2 linked regions of the Ovis aries genome follow. The protein of the gene in region 1 interacts with the protein of each later gene in a biochemical or structural test. Links are inferred from orthologs where the notes say so. Each region holds a gene or a part of one and is shown on either strand. Other genes may lie near its edges.

Evidence for each region.
Region 2: the proteins of ANXA7 (region 1) and SRI interact in a biophysical measurement, tested with the Homo sapiens proteins (2 studies listed by BioGRID and IntAct, with this or other methods). The link is inferred for Ovis aries from reciprocal best matches to the Homo sapiens genes ANXA7 and SRI.

What each region holds. Positions count from the first base shown.
Region 1 is NC_056078.1:28,611,557-28,615,066, forward strand, and holds part of ANXA7 (annexin A7), read right to left. Parts: intron 2,985-3,510; coding exon 2,871-2,984; intron 2,630-2,870; coding exon 2,459-2,629; intron 1-2,458. UniProt on the Homo sapiens protein: Calcium/phospholipid-binding protein which promotes membrane fusion and is involved in exocytosis.
Region 2 is NC_056057.1:73,943,563-73,947,866, reverse strand, and holds the start of SRI (sorcin), read left to right. Parts: upstream 1-1,499; 5' UTR 1,500-1,530; coding exon 1,531-1,581; intron 1,582-2,491; coding exon 2,492-2,575; intron 2,576-4,304. UniProt on the Homo sapiens protein: Calcium-binding protein that modulates excitation-contraction coupling in the heart. Contributes to calcium homeostasis in the heart sarcoplasmic reticulum. Modulates the activity of RYR2 calcium channels.

The sequences.
Region 1 (3,510 bases):
TTACATTGCCAACTATGGATTTTATAATGTATGATCATGGTTTGATGAGGTTATATTAAAACAAGAGGTTTTACAGGGCTTTGAGAGCTAAATTAGAAAACGTTTCCATAAAAAATTATGCAGACATTTTACTTTTGAAGGTATAGACAATTTTACTGATATTCAGTTTAAAAAGCTTTCTCTATAGACTAAAGAGACAGGGATTCTTAAAGAAATTACTCTTTTGGGTTTGATCCTTGGTTTACAAGCTGTGGGGGTTTTTTGTTTTTATTCAATAAACATTTCTCCAGTAGCAGGTATTGAAAGTCTAGGTATGATACAAACCAAAGAGATTGGAAATGACTATTACTACTCCATTCCTCCCACGAAGGAGATAAAAGATGTCTCCAAAGAGGGATTAGAGCTACAACCAAACTCTCGGGAATTAAATGCAGGCTCAGAGCAGGGAATGACAAATGGCCCAGGAGAGTCCAGGAAAGCTTCTCTGAGGAGGTGCTTTGAAGGGTGGTAATTGGGCCAGGAGAAAGAGACTGTACTGAAACTGCAGACTATAGCACCTCCAGAGGCTGTGGCCACACACACAGACTTTGACCCACAAGTCCTGAACACTGACAATGCAGCCACTTCCACCCTCTGGGAGAAATCCCTCGGCATCAAGGGAATTTCACTTTCGCTTCTTTTGTGATAGGGTCTCCTTCCATCAGTCCATGTTCTGAGCCAGTGAGCACTGTCTCTTCTAGCTTGGGGAGAGATGCACTGAGATGTCCCAGAAGCTGGATATCCCTGAACTCCAAGGTCTGAAATAACTTTAGATTTCTCATGATGAAGCGACTCCTAAGCCATGCTTTGCGGACCTCGTCTCCTAGGAGATATGAACTACCACTCAAATTAACAAAGTATGATTCTGCTTGGCTGGGATTTAAAATCAGCATTATACTGAGTTCCACTTTACATTTACCATGTACCTAAAAGGTATGGAGCTCTTATCTGGTACCAGAGTGTATTAGTCAGGGTTCTCCAGAGGAACAGAACCAACAGGATGTGCTATGTGGTGGGGACCCAAGAAAAGACAAGGCCCCTCCCTCCAAGGAAGTTAAGCCAAAAGAGGAAGCATACAGGATAGAGGCTTCGTGAACTTCCTTTCATTCATCCAAGTGCAATCTTAATATGTAAGTAACACAAGTGCTGACAGTCTGTATCCATTTATAGACCAAACTCTTCCCTGGGATGGGATGGGGCAGAGAGGGAGAGAGGAAGCTCGGGGCCTGAGTAAGAGTAAAGCTTGGATGGATGGGTCGTTGGTTTCTCTCTGAAACAGAAACATAAACCCAAACAAGGAAAAGGTCGCCCTCTAGAGTCTTAGTGTCTGTCTGAGGAACAGAATGGAGCCGTGTTCCTGAAGGTTGAGGAACTGTTTTCTGAAGGTCACTGGCACAAGCAATGTGTACAAGCCTATTCTAAACAGGCGGAATACAGCACAGGCGAAGGAGCTCAACACCAGCTCCCCAGATGACTGCCTTTGGGTTCAAGCACACAATATGGTCCCACTGTCCTAGAAAGCCACTTCCTGGAAGAGGGTCCTTTATTTTATAAAATGGTTGGGCCTTGAACCCTGCATAAAGAGACATTCAGCACCTCATTAAAGTCTGAATAATCATTTCTTTAGCATTAAATCTGTGTTTCTGAGTTTCTTTTCATGCTAAGCTACCTTCCGGCTCTGTTGTGGTAAATTCAATGTCCTCCCACCCATTTGCTTTGTTTTCTCATTTCCATACCCACACGCTCTGGCACATTGTCTTTTCTGCAACTACATCCCTTTGCTCTGAGAGCCTCTCCTCTGCTTTTAGAATCTTCAAGACTGTCCAGCCTTGTGTACTAGCGGGATAGCCAGTAACTCCTGATACTGAATCAGTATGCTAGTCTTTTGCATCATCTTTTTCAAATATACCCTGATTATTTATAGCATCATTCCAAATACCCTATTTGGAGAATTTTCTGCAACTCTGCCAGCAAATCTAGGGAATCAGAACAAGGAAGGTGCTTAAGCACGGTGTTTCAGTGGATGCTGAAATGTTTCCTGCATTTCTGTCTCACTCTTGTCACCTTGCATAGCAGGCCTGCATATCTTCAGCTGATGGTCCCAATTAACTAGCAGAACGATGCTAACCTTAAAAATACAGACTCAGCTTCATTCTAAGACACAGAGCCTCAAGTTGATTTCTGATTTCATACAACCTTCATGCGGTTAACTGCCGATTCCTTACAACAACCAGATTTGCAGAAATCATTTTCAATACAGAAATAAAGAAACCCATACAAATGATTCTCTGTTGTCCCTCTTAAAGATGTCAAGATTCCAAGGGGGCTAGATATTAAAAGGAATAAAGAATGCCCACTGGCAGTAGGCAGTAAAGAATGTTCCCTCCACCAACACTCAGACACTTAATTCAATACTCACCTGGCACATGGATACAAGTAAACGTTCAAAATGCCCGGATGTATCTGACCTAATGTCCTTTTCAAGGTCTCGTCCAAATTCTGATTGATAACATCTGACTATTTCTCGGATTTCCTGGTTTGTTCTTGAGCACAAAATTTCAATCAACACACGTTCCTGAGTTCCTGCTCCCTATGTGAAATTAAGGGAGAATGAGAGAGAATTATAAACAAAAAGCAAATTTATATAAGTTACTAAATCTTAATGTTCCACCAAACATAACTCTGGCCTCCAGACTGAAAAGCTCTATATATTCAGATGATATAAAATAATATATTGGTTTACCTGTCACTGTAAACTCAGAACTGCCATAATTTATGGGGTTTTACATTTGAAATAGGATAAAATACTCAAAGTAAATGCCATATAGTACCTTCATTGCATTCCGTAAACTCCAGGCATCATAATATGTAGGTGGCATGAACAGGGCAAGGATCAGTTCTTCCATATTTCCACTTAACTCTGATTTAAGATCTTTGATTAAATCCTGTTACATTACAAACACAAATTCAGTATATGAGCTCTCCAAATTTTGTTTTGCTTCAATTTTTTTAAGGGAAATACGAGAAAAATGGAATTGAACTACTTTAAGAAAACCTCAATTTCTGTTCAGAATATCATACACTACGGAATAAGTATTTAAGCTTATTATATTCAAGAAGATATATTTCAGTCGTTCTATCAATAAATACTTGATAATAAACTTATTGTAGTTCCGCCACTACACCAGGTACAAAAAAAGAGGAATCTGAAACAAAGAATAATTCAAATTAATAAAATGATAAACATGTATTTACTTAGCATAAGAAACTGTTCTTGTTTTATGAGGAAGCAGAAATCATCATCATTGTGTTCTTATTTGAGAAGAAAAGACAAACATCTAAAAACTAAAATACAGCAGCCTGTTCTCCAGCACCAGTTGAATAAGCAGCACAGAAATAAGTTGAAGTAGGAAAAGTTAAAGTGGGCTAGAGAGCGTCAGAGAAAACTTCAGTGAAGATATTGAAGAGTAT
Region 2 (4,304 bases), on another chromosome or scaffold:
CTGGTAGAGATTTTCAGTCATGTGAGAGGAAAAGTTTTGGAGATCTGCTATGAGGCACTGTAGATGCTTTTAACAATAGTGTACACTGTACACTTGGGCAGGAAGATATCAGGTTGTGTTTTTACTACAATAAAAATACTAGGGAAAAAATAAAACCCTCCATATGGGCCAAAGGACTCATATCTCTAATCTACCTTGATGATGACTGTGGTACTTGAAAACAGGAATCAACTTCCTGAATCAAACACAAAGCAAGTAATGTATAGTTGATTCGATATAAGACAACAGGAAATACTAGAATTTTTCTCTCAATTCAGGACTTTTATTTTGAGGTTTGGGGGATCCAAAAGAACTTGAGAGGGAAGTTTATACATGAGAGGAAAACAAAGACCCCAGTGAGAACCCAGTCCACCACATGAGCAAGCCCTGTCCCACACACAGCAGGTGCTCCAGTATTTGTTAAATGTTGGTGACTCATTCAATTTTTCTGTGCAACCTCCACAGCAAATACTGTGAATCTTGCTTATTGTTACATTTCTTAAAACAATAAGAAATTGTTGAAATTCAAAGAACTCTGCGTGATAGAAACTGCAGGAAACAAAACCAAACCAGAAAATCTCACGTCTGAATTGCTTCAAACTGTTAAACTGGGTGAAAAAGCTGTGAAGTAAAGAAAACTGTTTCCTGAATCACCTGAGTGAAACTCCAAGATCCAGCTCCCTTACCTTCCTGACAAGTGTGTTTTTACCAACACACTCTTTGCCTGCACTAAACTGTTCTTGCATAAAAAGTAGCTGAGTGATTTTGGAGACAGGATTGTTTTGCCTGAATCATCCAGATAACTGGAACAACTCAACTTCTAAGAACAATCCGGCCGAGGCTGCCCTGCCTACTAAGTGCCCGCTGTCCTCTTCAGGCCATATCCGAGTCACATCCAGCTTAAACTAGAGATGACAATGTCGCCTAGGAAGGAAACACGCCGTTATTGTTAAGTGAAACGGTCAACTCCAAATGCGCTCAGATCCTGAAATTCACTGCTGATGTCCAAAGGCGCTTTCGCAGCTTGGTTTTTCGAAGTCTCCTTTCCCTGAGAGCATCTCAGGGCTGCCCGAAGGCATTTGGCCCCTTCCCCCAGTACCACACTTTGCTTCCAGACCCGTAGGCCTGTCCAATAAAGTTGTTTAAAATACAAAACGTAGCAGAGGATGCTCGAGCAGGAAGAGAAAAAGAACACCCGGCGAAATGGGTCGGTGTTGGAACGTGCCATTCGTTTTGAAGGGAGGAGAATCCCAGGTGTGAACTGCATCCCGAGCGTGAAGTCATTTACCAGACCTCGGGGTCTTCAGGGCCTGAGAAGAGAAAACACCAAAGACCGGGCGGAGCGCAGGAAGGGGCGGAGGCCGGAAGCGGAGCCTGGCGCGGGCGGCGGCCCCAGGCGCGTACCCCGCGGGCCAGGGTGGTGCGGCCCTGGGCGGTCCCCGCGGGCAGGCGGGGAGGCGGGAGGCGCTGGGCGGCGGCGCAGAGTGCAGCATGGCGTATCCCGGGCATCCTGGCGCCGGCGGCGGCTACTACGCAGGCGGGGTGAGTGCTGCCCGCGCGGGCTCGTGGCCGGGGCGCGATCCCTGGACGCCCGGGGCTCCGAGAAGCCACAAGGGTCGTCTCGGCCGGGGAGGTTCCCGGGCGCCCCCGCCCTGCCCGCCGCCTCGCCCAGCGCCCCCGCCGGCCGGCCTCGGTCTCCGGCGACCTCCTTCCTCCTGTCCCTTCTTCCCCCCGGGTTGCTGCTTGGGGCCGGGACGCGCGTAGTTTAACCCAAGAAGCCCACCCTGTGCCTCCCGGATCCGCGGCGTGAAATCGTGCAAAAGGGGTGTTGCCTTCCGCTCCGCCTTCCCTAAGAGCAACAGCCATTTTACTCTAGAATGGTCCTGCGATCCACTTCTTTCTCTCTCTCTCCGAAATTGAGAGAAACGGGGAAAGTCAGGGAAAGTCCGCTAGAGTCGGAGACTTCCGGCAGGAAGGCAGCCTGGCCCTCAGTCTGGGACGGGCATCCTTTTGGGAACTGTTTCCTGAAGAGAATATTCCCTATCCGTGACACACCTCACCCTCCCGAGGCTACACCTGTCTCAGAACGCTTTAAAAATACCTTAAACGCTAGGAAAAATTATGCAAGACAATTCTGAGCCCTGCTGGTAAGTTGCATGGCCAGGTTGCATTCGTCTCAGTAAACTGCAGGTTAATGGAGATTTGCAGAGGTTACTTCATTTATACTGATGTCATTGTCAAGACAACTCATTTTGATCCTAGCTGCGGGTTTTTAAATTATAACTGGGATGAGAATGGGACAAAGGGAAGGAGTGATTGCGCCTATAGAGTTAAGGGAGGTGGGAGGGGGGGAGCAAACGACTGACAGCGAACCTGGCTTTGCACAAGGCACTCAGTGGTGAAAGGATAAAACTTGGTCATCGGATTTATTCATTTGTTCCCTGTCTTACAGTACGGAGGGGCTCCCGGAGGGCCTGCGTTTCCCGGGCAAACTCAGGATCCGCTGTATGGTTACTTTGCTGCTGTAGCTGGACAGGTTAGCTCTTCCCTTTAACATTAAAGAAATTTCAGTTTGTACATTTGTATTAACCTTTGTTACAGTCCCACGGAAAAACGACTGTTCCTCTGGAAAAGAATTCCTTTGCTTCTGCTCCAGAAAAGAGAGAGAGAGAGAGAGAGAGAGAAGGAAGTTCATGGGCAGTTATTTATTTTTGAATATTCAGAACAAACTGGGACAACGTGTTACTCTTGCTTATGTTCAATTCAGAACTAAACTTGTGATTGAATTAGGGTCAGATTGAACACAATAAACTAGTGTAAATATGCTTTGAAGATATGTAAGGTAGAAAGATGTCTTTAAAACGGTCAATTGTCAGGATCCAGACAGCGAATTTCCAGAGAAGAAATTCCAGGTCGACTGAACTTTAAACCTTTCTTTGTACAATTAGAATCATGTAGTACCAGTAATTCTGTAGCCAGATTCTGAGGGACATTTTCTTTGCATTGAGTTTGACTGTTAATTACCCCTTTAGGAAATGGGTACTCCAGGTTAAAACCCACTAGCTTCAAAATAAGGAAGGTACTTTCTTCTTGCTATCAGGAAGTTAATCTTGTGGCCAGTTTAGTTTTTCTTAGCTGCGGATGCTATTACTAGGTCAGCCCTTCCATGTCCTTGTTAGGTGTTGTGGTCTGTTGACCCAGACAGAGAATGAATTAAGGTCAACACCCCAAAACCTTTCACTTCTTCTAGTTGTGTGACAGGTGGTAGTTCATCTTGTAGGAGGCCTTTTTCCTCAGGTACCAGGTCACTGTATATACCATACTGCCGTTATAATCCAACATGTTCAAAGAGGACATTTGTGCTTATGAATTCAACCTAGCTTTCTTTTAATCAAAAGCTAGAAATAGCACAGTCTTGATGTGAAAATGCCTGTAGACTGTTATGGGATAAAAACGTGTGACCACCTTCTAGAACAGCACTGGAAAAAGTACAGTTTGAGAAACTGAATGGAAAATTGAGTCTAAAACTGAAAGAGCTTCCCCTAAGTATCTGCTTCACCTGTTAGTGATCAGTATCTTTGAAACCACAAGACACGGCAAAGCTCAAGTCTCTGCACTCTTAGACCGCCAGGACCAGGAGCCATGAAAGGCACCCACCTGCTTAGCTTTCAGCAGCCCTGGTCTGCGGCAGCATGTCCATCGTCTTTCCCATTATTGATCGTGCCTGTCATCTAGATTGTATAATAGTCATGAACTTGAGGATTTGGGCATTTTATTTTAAAATCTAACGTGTTTCTAGTTCTGACCTAGGTCAGCCAGTGAATAGGCATGGAGAACTTGTATAATTGTATAACCAGCTATAATTGTGATCTGAAAAAAACATTCATCATATTCTAAGCAAAGGAGATCACAGAGGCTGCTTTTTGTGGGAACCAAACTTTTCATTTACTGATGTCATCTGTGTACCCAGCCCTCCACCCCCTCAACAGAAAAAAAAAAAAAAAAAGCGAGGACAAGTAATAGAACTTCTGATCAAATACATAAATAATTGTATTTTAAATTGCTTACTTTTGCAGTTTCCTAGTTCAGAGTAAGAGTAGTTAAGGGTAGGAGCTAGTTGTATTTATATGTTTAAAAATATGTCTCAGTGGAAGAAACTGAATTAATCTTACTGTTTTATTAAGAAGAGGAACCGTATGCTTTAGAAGTTATGCCATCTAATTCAGGAATTTATAGGAAATGACAAAAAGATATTGGTAATACCA